Lepisosteus oculatus: one gene and its partner. The protein of the gene in region 2 interacts with the protein of the main gene of each other region in a pairwise test. Links are inferred from orthologs where the notes say so. Each region holds a gene or a part of one and is shown on either strand. Other genes may lie near its edges.

Region 1 (7,678 bases), on a different chromosome or scaffold from region 2:
TTTCTGTTCTTCCACTTTGTGATTCATGCCAACCCTGTTGTGAGGGACTGGCTTTAATTCCTTCACTGCTGTGTAAAATATATATGTTATGGGCATCAACAGTTTGCCAAAAACCTCAACTTGTGTTTTCTGGTATTAAACATCATTATCGCAACAATGCAAAGTAACTGACACATGAGCAGTCAATATGGTGTGTTGTAGTAGCCATCCCTTCATTTTTATGAATTCAATCTACCTAATTTACTGTCAGCTGTTCCTTGTTTAGAGAGACGCAAATGCAGACCATGACATTTATAAAGCCCAAAGGCTACTTACTGTACGACAAAATACAGCTGTCAGGAATTACCATTAGTATAAAATACAATTCCTAAAATCTCATTTGCGGTTCTTGATGGCTGTGCTTCAATCTATCAGCTACATGAAACCACAGCCTCTGTCCTTCATACCTTGGAATGCCATTTTATTCCCCAGAAAAGACTACAGCTTTTCTCAATCAGAAAGCAAGAAGGAGACAAAAATAACTGGGAACATTTATTCAGAATCAAAAATAAAGTTTCCCCTACGACAAAAAGTACACAATTTTCAAAGACAACATGGTATTTAAAGACAAATTGACACAGAAAAAAAAAACAGGTTTCTTGTTTTATTTGCAAAGGAATTGAAACGCATACAATTTTTATAAGACAATTATCCCAGAACCTGAAATAAGCAGAATTTGTTGCATATCAAATAAAGGCAGTCTACAAGAGAAAACTCAACACTGAGCGTTATTAAATATTTACTGTGCACTGGATTCCTTTTATTATTGAACTAATTTCACTGCTCTGGATTTTCATGCCAACCCTGAAAAAAGAAGATAAAGAAGATATTAAAATTATATTTAGTTTAATTTTACATCAGCATTTTGTTTATTTGCCTAAAGAATGACATTAGAATTTTTTTAATTTAATACAAACTATCCTCTGTAAGAATAAGTGAAGGCACTTCACTGGAATTACTGAAGCGGAGAAAACCTTTAAATGGTTTTGACAAGCGTCACCATGTCTATCTACTTGTGGGATGGGGTTTCCATCTCTAGTCTCCCTGTTGATAATGCAGGGCACATCAGTTACGATTACATTACTACCTGAGATCTTAGTCAGGTACCAGATTCTGGTTTGTCAAAAAGAATATCTATTTTGTGAGTTCCAGTTAGGAAAGTTAAAAGTGATTTACCATTGGAGAACTTGCATTGCTTCAGCACCTCACTGAAGCCCTCACAGAGCTTGAGGTCGCTCTGGGTCTGCGCGCACTCGATAAACTGCCTCAGCTCATACGTGCAGGGGTTCTGCTGAGCCTGCTGCTGGTACATGGGCTGAGCTGGGGGAGCAGGCTCCTGTGGGCACAAAGCACACATGAACTGTTTCGCTGAACCACAGCTGTGAGCAAAACATCCCAGACCTTTTGCCTAGAGGCAATCACCCTTATCCGGGCTAGGTACAGTTACTCACAGGCTAGACCACAAACAGGCAGTCCGAATCCTTGAGTGCAGAGCTTAAAGGGCACCTTTGAATGAAGAGCGGGTTCGAGCTTGGCCCACGTCAGTACCTGACTGGGAATGGTATTTCACAAGCGATGGCTGAGCACCAGCCGGGGTAGGGTGGGATTAGTTGGCCAGAGATACCTCTTTTCTCAGTGACACAGCGACCCCCACAACCTCGCTTGTGCTCAGAGGCAAGCAGTGCTGTCGGGCGCCCCTGTAATCAGCACCAAGTCTCTGGCAGGGGGCTGTGGAGCCCGTGATGTGAAAAAAGAGGAACAGCTTTAAGGTGGGTAGATCAGAGGAGAGGGCCTACACCCATCCCCCCCCACCACCACTGTGTGGCATTTCTGGGCACAGCACAGTTATTTTGCAAGAGTAACAGATCAGCATGTTTTGCACAAAAAAAAACACTGGTTCATTTTATACATCCCTGAGTAGGTTTACACTCACAGCTCAGAGTTACAATCCGGTCATGAAGCGCTTACCTGATAGGTGATATCGGCCCTGCCTGGTTCTGCAGCTGCCCCGCCACCGAAGCCCCCTGTCATGGCATGGCCAAGTGTGTGCCCGACAGCAGAGCCCACTGCCACGCCGGCTGCTGTGGTCGCCATCTGGGCAAACATCCCGGGCTGTCGGGGGGCTGCGGAGGGGGCGGCCATGGCAGAGGGAGGCGGGTGGGCAGGCAGGGAGGAGGGGGGTGGGGCAGCCCTGGCCATCGGTCTTGGTGGAGCCCGGCTGTGCGGAGACAGAGAGCATTACCCTGGTCGACAGAGTGCCAAGCACACATTCATCTCTTATTTATCTTCAAGCCTGGCTCGCCACTTCTGTTCTGAAAGCTCAAGGTCTAACAAATGTTTTTTTTTTATATATATAATCCAAAACAAGTTACTCCTGAATCAAACTGCACTGCTAAATCTCTTACGTAAACTTAATATTTGCAATTGTGACTTAATTATAAATAGCTCTTGCAATACTAAATTATATGAGAGATTAAACACCGTGTGCATTACCTAACTTAACTAATGCATTTCACAGTATTCGCAAAACGCATCAGTCACCCTTTTAACTGTTCAGAATAAGGCACCGTTCTTATACAGAGACGACATCTTTTAACACGGTAGCTTATATTTAAGAAACAAGCAGATTATTCTAGAAACTTCCGGCTGGACATACCTACGGGTATTTCACGGCAGAAAAGTACAGTGCAATCTACTCGCTAGGCCACGCTGCGCACGAAAATGATCAAAAAGTATTATGAGGTACACTTCTGTAATTATTTTCTCTTACCTGGCCGGAGGTGGTACTCTAGACATCCTGCTTCTACTGCCTCTGCTTGGCATTTTGTTCTAAAAGATAAAACAGATCTCTATGTCAGAAACAAGCCGATCCTCTCCTGTCTCTCTGCTTGAGAGCGACCTTGTGTTAACTAAAAGCCGATCCGGAAATGTCCCCAGTGTTACATCATATTGTAACACTCCCGACTTCCGGTAGCAGAGACGCGCTCCAGTGCGAGTATGGTGAAACTAGTCTGTATATATTTCAGTATTCTGTCTCCATTTTTGTATTTCTGGTGTTTAAATAAGAAAAAGCTACACTGAGCGACACGAATGATCCGGAAGTGTATGTAAATAGCCGAACGTCATTAAAAATAAAAGACTTTCAGCCACCGCAGTAGCGTATGAGTATAGCAACATTAAGCGAAGTGACAAGCAGCTGAAACACCTGCTTTGTTATTTCTTCACGGTTAACTGCAATTCCCTGAACATTCAGCTAAAGTTTGAGAGGGTCCTTTTTTAATTTAAAATCGCCTCCACTAATCTCCAAGTTTGACAAATCTAAGATTATTGGAATAGTTTTTATTGAGTTTACAGCGCCTTTCTTCCATTTATACTACTGTAAAAATTGTCATTGCTATATTTTTTTCATAGAAATGTTTTTTTTTCTGTTCAATGAAAAAGGTTTTAAGATGCAAGCTTTTAAAGGAGCTGTATCTGAAATTTGTAATTAAATCAAATCCTTTATTATATTTAAATTCAATCCGTTTTTAAAACTATAACCAGGGACAAAAACATTTTTTGCACCATCAAAAGTGGTGAAACATACAATGTTAAGACAGTCAGCCAATAGCAAATCAACCTTCTTCATTCCGTTTTAAGTCTTTATTAATATTGTTGGTCTGGGTGGATCACCTTTAGAAAAACTGCAGTGCAGAATTGAATGGGGAAAATTTGTGCCTCTCCAAAGGTGGATGGAATCTATTGCACAGACCCTCAGCTAATAGAAAATCACCTTGTTTTTGTCAGATAAGTGTCTCTGCCAAAGCTGCTGGGGTTTATAGAGCACCTCCCATTCCCAGACTGGGACTGTGCAGCGATGGACAGGGAGTGGTCTAACTCCCCTCCTGACCAAACCAAAATTTGTGCAATAAGCGGTTCAACTTTGGTTGTGTAGGTATGACACAGAATGACAAAGATATTGAATCTGTAGGGTTTCTGTGTTGCTCAGCAAAATGTGATGTTAAAAGTCGTGGCATTAAAGACTGGGTTCAGTTTCTTGAACAAATGTGAAGCAATCAGCAGTGTAATACATAAGTCAGATGTTACCAAAAGAAAAGTGACATTGATGTATCACATGTCAGCACTGAGACACGTTTCCCAATGTGCACTCAGGATGCCCTCACAGACACAGCTCAAATCAGGCGTCATGTGTCAGAAAATAACTGGCCGACAAGGGGTTTCAGGCAGAGGTGAGTCAATATCTTAAACACAAAAACCCAAATGCTTTGTTAATTTTTGGGGGTAAAAAGGGAAGTTCTTATTTCTGCACACATATTCCTCTGGATGTGATTTGATTTATTTATGATATATGTATATTTACCTTTTGCATGTTTTGGAATAGCAAACGTTAGTTTATGCCTTAGTTACATAATTGTTACTGTGTTGGATCAATAGACACCCCCTTCCACACAAGTAGAATTACACAATCTGGTATTCTACAGTATAAATCGGATTACATGGTCCATTTAGTTAACATTGAAAACCTTTATTAATTAATATTGTATTATAATAGTTATCAGTCCGTCTATATGATTCGTTTGAAAGGGATTTCATAGCGTTACACGAACAGAATGCATGATAATATTCACCTGAAAACCAGCTGGGATTCTGAAAAGTTGCTGAAAGGGCCTTATGGAGTGGGTTTTAATACTGAACTGAACACAAATGCAATTTTGAGACGCCGGGCTTTTTGATGGCGCCTCTGGCATTTTTAAATTGCTCCCTGAAAGTCCTACTAATTTCAATTTTTCAATCTCTCACCAGCACCTGATTCCCACCCAAAGCAACAAAAGCCCGTCTCCCGGGTTTCATATCGGTTCGGAGTGAGAGAGCTCTGAATTTGCTCAATCTGAAACGCCAATTATGAAACCCCCATCGTTTTTTATGATAGGAAAGATTGCTTCTCGTATTGCCATCTGTTGCTTGGTGACGCGGCGTGTCCTCTCCAGGTTTTGTCTCTAGTGAAGTCACCTGAGAATTATAAAGGACCTGCCCACTTTTTTCCCTTTCAGATCCACTCTGGGTGATCAACAAACCTACAGTAGGCGTCAGTCGACCGCACACTCGACTCACAGCCTGGTTAAAGCCTATGTACTATATGTATGGATGGTGTTTTTTGAACTTTGCTTGAAAGGCAGTACAAAATCCGCGTCTCTTATGCACTTTTAAGACTGACTTAGTTTTTGTTATCTTTTTTTTTTAGTTTTAATTAAAAGTCATGAGTCGATTGGATGGATGGGGAGTGAAGTCACACGCGTTAGAACCGGAGGAAGAGTTTTATTCTTTCGATTTTGACTCGGAAGATCTGTCCGGCTGTCAGGACCCCAGCGAACTTTTGGTGACTCTGAAACAAAAGGAAGAGGATTTGATTCTGGCTGCCGAGCTGGGGAATGCGCTTCTTCGGGAAAACGGCGAACTCAAAGAACAGAACGAAAAACTTCATGAGAAGTACGCGGACAGATTAGAGGTAAGGGCATGAACACAACGCAGTCTGGTGTATGGAACCGTCTGTGGTTATCCTGTCACCCCGCTTTGCCTGCACACACGCTGCGAATATACCGTTACTGTGTGTGCCGTCTGGTTTTCCACTAGCCTCAGTTAAAATAACAAAGAAACAAAACCCCCACTGAACTAATTTTAGTGTTAAGAAACAGTGAGTCACGTTTATGTACAAAGCATTTTAGATTTACACATTCCAGAACCAGCATGGTGCGGTACGGGTTTTTAATTAGTTTTTTTTTACAATTATTTGTTGGCATTTTGTGTTTGCCATTTTAAGTGCTTTAAGCTGACCAATTATTACATTCTTTAACCTCAGAGCTGATACTCCTATGTTGCATTATCCGATATTAAATACATGTCAATTACTGTGACAATATACCTATGTCCAACATCGGGTTGAATGCATATAATAAACCCCCTTCTTTTTTTAATAATGAGGGGTCCTTCGCTTCTTCAACTTTTCTGGAACGGGAATAAAAACATAGTTTTTGACAGGTGTTTACAGTTTGGATTTTGTCTAATATTTTCTATATAAAACAAGTCCACACGAAAATGGTAACGGTGCTAAAATAATGTTCTTTTCGATGGCAATGGATTAGGCATCATGTTTTAATGCTCGTACCTGGTGCGTCAGAGCGATGGGTGATGGAAAAGTTAGGCTAGTGCTTGGATTGTTTCATCTGCAGATGAATCACGCTTCCGCTATCCCGCAGATAAAAGAAGGGACATTAAATAACTTGTTGATAGTGACCCTTCTCTGTGATCTTGGGAGCATGCCATCTCTGGGTGAATTGCCTAGAAACCAGAGTGCAGAAAACCGCATCGCTGGGAACTCAAAGTATAGACGTTCCCTGTTCTTCGTGGAACAACCAAAAGCCGTAAGTTATAGAGGCACTTGTTCACCGTAAATACCTGTGGTACTTAAACGAGTTTTCTGGAGATTTCGGTGCAGCCAGGGGAGTGAAATACAGCTTAACAAGGGCATAAATATACCACCCCGAGAGAGGCAATTCAAATACATTCTTCATTTTATGAATCCTTGTAGTTGGGACTTTGCACGATAAGCAGCAGTGAACGTCACGATCAGACAGAAAAGCCTTTGTATTTCTCACTCTTATTGAGCTATTGTACATAGTTGTTTTTGTATTGTTTCTGGTGAAGTTAATCTATGAGGGAAAAAACTGTTTTTTTACCGTTATGTACAGTATTTATGTCGCGCCGCTGACCAAGCGCACCTACATTCGTTATGTGCCAATTTATATTTTTTTGTGACATGGTCTTATTGAACGTCTCAGGAGGAAATTGCTGAGAGTGGTGAGCACTTCGCCTGAGAGACGTGTCTAGTCTAGTGTCTAGGTGAAAAGTAATCTTTCTTTGATAAATGACATTATCTTCTTATTCCCTGATGCTGCTCACAAAACAGGGCATAACAGGAATAATGATCAAATAGTGTTAAGTGTTGTTGTAGAACCTTCTTAGGTCTTAATGTAAAAAACGGACTGTTTTATTCAGTAGTAAAGTGCAAAAATCAGATATCTAAGTCTAACAACAGATCTTAAAATGAATATTGAATTTGAGCCAAATCTCTATGTTTTACAAAGTGTTTGAAGAAGGCTGCTCATTCCAAACTGTGAAAATGTCTTTGCAGTTTGAGCTCTCCCTTTAAATACTTTTGTATTTAACTAATCAGGTAAATATTTCACAGGAAATGTCCCACGTGTTTTAACAGTACATATGATACGATCGTGTGGAGAGTGAGACAGCATTGTCCTCCTTTGACAGCCTTCTAATCTGGACCATGTGAAAGAAAAAATCTTCAGCAAACAAGTCATCACAAACATAGTCTGTCTGAGTCTCGTTTGTGATTTTTCTTTACAAATCACAATATGATAAACTTATAATGACTTCTTTGAAGTCTGTCCAGCCCAGTCTCCATTTGGAATCGTGCTCTGTTTTTACCATATTGAAGATAAAGGAGCAAACTGGAAGCATTTGAAACCCCTAAGTTCCTGCTTTCTGGCCAAGCTGACCAGTGTGCCTCAGCCGGTTGTTGGTCTGTGTCTACCCCCCGCCAGGAGCTGGAGCAGGGCAGACATGA
Region 2 (7,052 bases):
CCGGGTTTCTCTTCTTCCTAAAACTTAGTACTGTATATCCATCTTAAACCTGCACACAGAATTTAAGCAACACCAAAGCAGGGTATCCAGATGATTATCACCAACCATCTCTGTTTATTTCCATTAACGTATCTGCTACCTTCTTACACATGTTCTGGAAGTGCCCTGTGGTAAGAGTCCTTGTAGGCGTGTCTCTAATGTACTGTACCTCTGGATCATGCTGCTATGCCACCAAGCCCTCAACCTCTCCTTCTCAAGAAGGATTCACAATCTGCCAGGAATCTTCAGATGCAGTGGTTTTAGTTTGTGCTTTTATTTGCAGCCACAAAATTTCATTTCGTGAGGTTAGTTTGAGACTGTGATTTACTTTAACCAATACTAAGACTATGTTACCTAAACTGAACCTTTTTACAGGCTCAGCAGTCAAGAATATGATGGAAATATTCAGCATCCTTAAAGACTTCCAACACAGTCAACCCAACCGACTCCTTCAGATCGCACTGTGAAACACAGACCAAAGGTTACAAGTGGACACTACTTGGAAGTCCATTTAAGAACAACAACTGGGGGTACATCTTTCATAAAGGGTTGGGGGAGAATGGAACAAGCTAACCAACCACGTTGTTGAAACCAGTACCCTGGCTTTGTTTAATAAATGCCTAACTACCACCTGCACAAGATAGGCTGAATGAATGACTCCTTTTATTTGTACCTAATTCTTATGTTCTTAACATAACAGTGTTATGAATGGAAAAGTGGGTTCCGTTCATTTGCAAAAATTGTTCTTATGGACAGATGTAGAACTGGAACAAGAAAGTGTGGTAGCAAGGAATTCTCCATGGGAGCAACAATCCAAAGACGCTAGCTGATGGTGAGAACAGGAGGATGGTTTTATTCGCTAGCAAGACTGGGCAATGGAGACGATACTAAGTCATGGGAGTATAGGAAAAGCTAGCCAGACCTGTTGTTGAAGCAGATACCCTGACTTAATTTAAGAAATGGTTAAATAAAATCCTCAGGTCAACTAATTAACAGGATAGATGGGAATGCCCTCCTTTTATAACCAAGATGATCTGGCAGGAAGAGTGCACCGAAAACAGTAAAATTTAAACATTTAGGCTTCTGTTGGTTATAAAACAGGTTTACAGCAAAGTGGCAAGAATAAAATAACCATATATATCAGATGGGAATTCCAATCATTTATAAATGAGGATATAAATCTATGTTTTTTTTCTTAATCCACAAATTAACAGACTTATAGCTTTGCTTTTATTCGACACTACAGCATAAAATGTTGGTGTTCTCCCTAGATAACTAACTGATTAATTGTGCAATAAAAAAGATAATGAAAGAAAGACTTGTAGCCACATTCTTATTTGGGCCAGCCCTGGCAAAAATTAGTGTGAGCACCTATTGGCACAGTCACAAGAACATTGTCTAGAAGAGAATCCGTGTGACATTATTTCAACATCTAGAAGAGAGAAATAGATGGAGAATGTTGGGTGATGTACTGAAGCCCTTTATTGTCATGTAACATTCCTCAGATATTAACACAGATTACTGTACTTGAAAAACAGGCAGATTGGGAGCTGTCCATCATACAATGGTGCTGAAATCTGCTGACATACTGTACTGTAGTTTGTGTATTAAAAAGGCTGGATGAAATAAAAATGAAAGAAAACCGCATGCCAAGAGGTAGACATTTGGATTCTGGTTACATTCTTGTTAACAATCAGAAAAATATTCTGAAAGACCACTAGATAAAGATATGTACATAACTGAAACATGTTATGTAACAATACTATAAAACGAAATGGTAATGTGAGAAACCTGATTTTAAGTTCTGTAAGTGATTTTAAAGTGATCTACATAAAGGAAGAAAATGTTGGTTTAAGGTCATGGAAAGGCACAGCATGTTTTAGTTTTATAATATTCCAAACATGGTCTGAAAGCAATGTTCCCCAGACCTAGGGTTGTAATAATCCTTATTACTACCCTGGCAATTTGTATTCCTGGACTCTTTATGATATATTTTTTTTACTGAGCTATTTATTTCAATAGATTAGTAAGGCAACAATTTATTAAACAGGTTGAGAATCACCTAGCATAAAATGCCGCATTTACTGAGCATCTTTAAACCTTTAAAAGCCAGTATATATCTGAAACCAAAAGCCCACAGCTGACAACAATTAAAAAATACAATCAATACAACAACTCAAAACAAACTTTACAGAAAGGATAAAGATTAATTAGAGTAGAAAAATGAAGGTTCAGTTGCAATAGAATAGAAATAAAAAAATTAAAATTAAATTCAGGATGTCCTAAGGTTTCTTTATTGAAGGGGACCCAGCCTTATGTCATCTTAATTTTTGTAACATTTACTGAGAGCTGTATTGAAGGAAATAATTATTTAGTCTTCTAGGCAGACTTCAAAATCCACTCTCGAGTTGTAATGTAGTTCAAACCAAAAGCACTAAAGTTGGGTTAAGGCATCTCTGCTTAAAAAACAATCAATCAATAGCCACATCCTTAAATCTAATTCCAGCTCTAATGCCACTGATCCAGTTACACACACTGGTTTCAGTTTAAATCTCCTCAAGGCCAGTAAAGCCATAAGGATTGTTCTATGAAGGCAGATAAATTATTCAAAATAAATGTTTTTTTTGCCATTCACTAGAATGATGTGGCCTGCTTTCTCGTAACTAAATTCTATGAGGTTTATTCTCAATTTATCAATCTTCCTGTCTAGTCTTAAAAGTAATCTTTATAAGCCAAAGCCAACCTTTATTTTATCGTTACCTTTATTTACATGACCTTTCAAAACAAGAACATATTCGTCAGATTCAAGCAGTGATTCTGGAGCCCTAACCTCCAAGAGTTTTGTTTTGAGAGCTGGTGGCTTTTCTGCTACCAGAAAGAACCTCTACATGTAACCATTTTTTAACCCTGAATACATAGTTATAACAAATTCGGCCAGTCAAAGGTACTGTAAAAATGTTGCTCTAGAAATAAATTACAGTGGAGTTTGGTTGTATCATTAACATACTACAATGAAGGTTCATCAGCCTTTAAATCTGTTATAAACTGTCAACAAAAGAAAAAACTATATTCCTTTTAACTTATGTCTTGCATTAGTCAAAGGCATCAAAGCTTTTATAGATCTCTTTTACTCTTTCTTTAGCACAGGTTTGGTAAAAAGCACACTTGTTACAGGCTCTCTCAAGAATAATAAACCTTCACAGCATGGGATATCATGGGAGTCTAGTTCCTTCTTCCATTGAGTCCAGGTGTTCCCACTTTTGAGAGATTGGTCTAGTATAGGCACGGCCCTGAAAGGTTCACTAAATGCTCTTCAGAGCAGAACTAGATATGTCATCTTTCTAGTGCAGACTGCTGTGTGATCTGCGTAGAAAACAATTTTCAACCAGTACAGGATTTGCTATATGGGCATTTTCCATGCCAAATGACAATCTGCAGAAACAACTCAGTGTGCTACCATCCTCTTCTGAACTAGTCTAGTAAACTCACTATCACAGATTCTGTGCTAATTTATAAAATGAAGAATTTAGCTTTTAGTCATCGAACGAGGTACGTTGATTGAATGTGAGAACACACTATTCCTTTCACGAACCAAAAAAGTAGCACAGAAAATGTTAACTCTGCTGGCATTTCACCTACGGTATATTTAGTATTGTTCCAGAAACCATACTAATGTACTCTGAATAGTCAGTGTAGTGGGTTTGAATAGACCTGTTTAGTACATCTGTATAGACATCTGTAGCACACAAAAGCAAATCCTGGTGTTTAATGACATCAGTCATTAAATGTGCTGGATTTGTAGACAGAATGTGACCAGAAAAACGCCTTTCAAAACATCAATTGTCAGCCTTCTTTACAATGCCCTGTAAAATGTGGTAGGAGTAGCTTTAAAAGAAAATCATGTACTGGCTTGAGGCTTTAACCTCGATAGAAAACCAAGAATGTTATACCCAGCTACCCAGTTTGTTAGGCAGTCCTAGACTTGAATATATTACCATTGATCCCTGGAGCATAAACAGACCTGACAGGACCTAGCAGAGGAGAGAGAGCCAAGAGGAGGGGAGGGCCACTGCTGATTCAAACTGGATTAAATAGGTAACCTGTGCTGCTGTAAAATGGCTCTGTTACCGCTGTCACAACTCGCGCGGAATTAGAGCAGAGAGGGAACAAAGCCTTCAGAGCCAACGTACTGTACATGTAGGTGCTGCAGGAACAGGCAGCAGGGACATGTCTTCTGTTTTGTATCCTGGGGAGCATGGTATCCCCAAAGAAATCCTTCTGGTTTGGCTGCAGAAGCAGGAGCAGCTCCATCAAGGTGAGTCTGGCCTGATTGGGTCGGTGAGTTCTCACTCAGCAAAGTTCTTATGCTTCAGCAGTGCGTACAGTACCTCACATCTGTCAGTCTGCACAATGATGACCTGTGTGCCGAGGAAACACACCAAGAATGTCCAGACTTAGCCTTCTTGTTTTCTGTGTGGCCTTTCAAGCTGTGTCATCTGCAATTCTTTTGGTTTAGAATGGTAGAAATAACACAGACAGATTAAAGTGCAACACCACCACTCAAGCCAAAAAAGTAAAGATGGCCAGACAAGAACTGTTATTTTTGCTTGTTAGGCAAGATAAAGTAACTTCACCGACTGAAACATACTGTAGTACAAGGTCCAGTCCAATGTATTAGCCAGGTTAAGTGGCCTTTATCATCTCCTGGACTGTTGGACTTTGTGCTATTTTTAAATCAATGTGTTTTCAAAAATTAGATCTGTGAGTGTTGCACTTCTTTGCTTCTGTTTAGGATGTAAATGCAGAGTAGTTACTGACCTGTAATCAATTACTCCTGGTTAGGATGCATGTTAAATGGAAAAGGTTCACTGGTAATGTGCTGTATTTTAAATGTTTCAGTAAAGACAAAAATGGGCTTTTTGTTAGGTACCTGTATTTCACTGAAAAAGAAAAGGCAACCATAAAATTGTCCAAAGAAACAAAATTAAAAAAGAATGGGGGTTTGGGATCAGTGTGGTAATCTCGAGTCCGTCTCATATATTATTTTAAGGAAACCTCACATTGAGGCTAGGAGAATGTCAACTGAAGAGGAGAAGGAAGTTTTGTTTTGTGACAGACAACACAGTACAACCACATTGAAATAGAATTCCACAGCTAGCATTGTACATGTCCCTGACATTGCACACTCCCAGCATCCAGTCATAAAACACTATTCACATTTTCTGCAAGGGAACAAGTATGATTTATGACTGTAAGAAATAAAAAAAATCAATATTGAGGTGAGTGAGTTCCGATCTTTAAGCACTATGGAATCTTAAAAGATAAATAGGACAGATTGTACAAGAAGAAAACAGTATTCTCCATGCCAAGCTATTTTGTTACTGAAAAATATATAATTCTCACACTTAACGATTTTTTTACTCTTGAGTTGGCTTGGGGTCCCAGTGTGAATCCATGGTTCATAACCTATGACCAGACAGGCTTTGCATTTGGCTGGACGCTCAGTGAAGATCTGCTAGGAGCTGAACACCTACTTCCTTTGACTGGTGTTAATTTTGAGCTCTCATCTTTGCAGAGGCCTTGGGAGTAACCCAATGCTTGCAATGTCCAAAAAACTTCCATGAGAAATTATTTGGTGCACACTGCTCTGTTTTATTGCAACAGTCAGCCAAGGTCTCAACTCAGATGATCTTGTCAACTTTATTGGTCCTTACTGCCCGCTGCTTTTATTCAAAGTGACTTACATTTATACTGGGGGGTATTTTACAGAAGCAGTCTGTACATCCAAACTAAGCGTCATTTTCAAGGGACTCCTGAACGGTACTCAAACTTATCCGACTGCTTTACTACTAAAATGTTTATTGGCTTGGGGTAATGTTATACACTATACAGTATACCTGTAATACATATTTAACTTATAGCCCTGCCTAATGTTCACAAGCGTTATTTTGCATAGTCTTGTCAATAACAATTTACAATCTAAAATTTGATTCAAGTGGTATTGCCTGCAAATTTACTTTTACAGTTACTTTATTTGACGCCATTTAAAAAAAAAGAGATCCTTTTTGTAAGCAAATGACCACATTGCAACAGCATGGGACACCTCGCAAACAAAATCGTACAGATGCTACATCTCATTCATTGGTGTTTACGACGCCAGACAACAGGCTCAAAACACGAGCAGTGCCTTCTGAGCAGCTCTCCAGTGCCTGACTTTTTCTTGCTGGTTAATAGGATTCCAATTGGCTTTAAGCCTTTCAAAACCTGTTTAAAAATTTCCAGTAAGCGGAGAAAGAAGCAACGGTAAATGGATTAAGTGGTTTGTCTGATATCTTAATTGTTCTTATTTAAAGATATCTTTTATCAAATGGGTGTGTTAAAGGTTATTGAAATTTCAGTTAGTATCTGCTTGTATAGGTGATGTCCAATGGATGGTTCCTTGTATGATTCAGAGGAAAGTATTTGTGGTAGTTATACCTCATTTTTGCAGTAAGTTCTATAGTTTTAATGGGGATTTATTTTACTACTGTACATTTATTGCAAGAAGAACTACTGACTTTGGGTACCCTTTTCTTTCTTTGATGATTTTGTATTCTGAACAACACTGGCATAGGCCAGAAGCTCATTGTAAATGTTTTTTTTCCTGGATATTATCATCATTATCATCAACAACACAGGCATTCATCACGATTGTGTATTATGTAAGCATACTCTATGCAAGGTTCAGTCTGAAAGCCCTCCATCTTTTCTTTGGCCTTGGGTAAAGGCTAAGTTCACTGGAACAGAGGTACAGGCTCATGCACCAGAGATTAATGACCTGATTTTGTAAACTGGCATTGCCAGTTTTCAGGCCACTGATTTGTAAACCCCATTATTTAATTCCAAATGTCGTGCATATTAAGATCCCATTTTCCACAAGCATCTGCTTGTGTCCACCTCTCTGAAGTCAGTAACTTTTCCACTAACAACTGCACAACTACTCAGGTCAATAAGATATGGTACAATAACAGTAA

What was found.
Region 1: the proteins of lhx4 (region 2) and chchd2 interact in binary tests that used the Homo sapiens proteins (3 or more experiments, as listed by UniProt). The two-hybrid records come from large-scale screens. The link is inferred for Lepisosteus oculatus from reciprocal best matches to the Homo sapiens genes LHX4 and CHCHD2.

What each region holds. Positions count from the first base shown.
Region 1 is NC_090721.1:5,755,676-5,763,353, forward strand, and holds chchd2 (coiled-coil-helix-coiled-coil-helix domain-containing protein 2), read right to left. Parts: upstream 2,972-7,678; 5' UTR 2,863-2,971; coding exon 2,810-2,862; intron 2,258-2,809; coding exon 2,008-2,257; intron 1,376-2,007; coding exon 1,216-1,375; intron 844-1,215; coding exon 833-843; 3' UTR 519-832; downstream 1-518. Other genes in the region: bicdl2l (bicaudal-D-related protein 2-like), read left to right, coding at 5,297-5,545, 7,656-7,678. UniProt on the Homo sapiens protein: Transcription factor. Binds to the oxygen responsive element of COX4I2 and activates its transcription under hypoxia conditions (4% oxygen), as well as normoxia conditions (20% oxygen).
Region 2 is NC_090704.1:26,256,378-26,263,429, reverse strand, and holds the start of lhx4 (LIM/homeobox protein Lhx4), read left to right. Parts: upstream 1-4,041; 5' UTR 4,042-4,266; coding exon 4,267-4,354; intron 4,355-7,052. UniProt on the Homo sapiens protein: May play a critical role in the development of respiratory control mechanisms and in the normal growth and maturation of the lung. Binds preferentially to methylated DNA.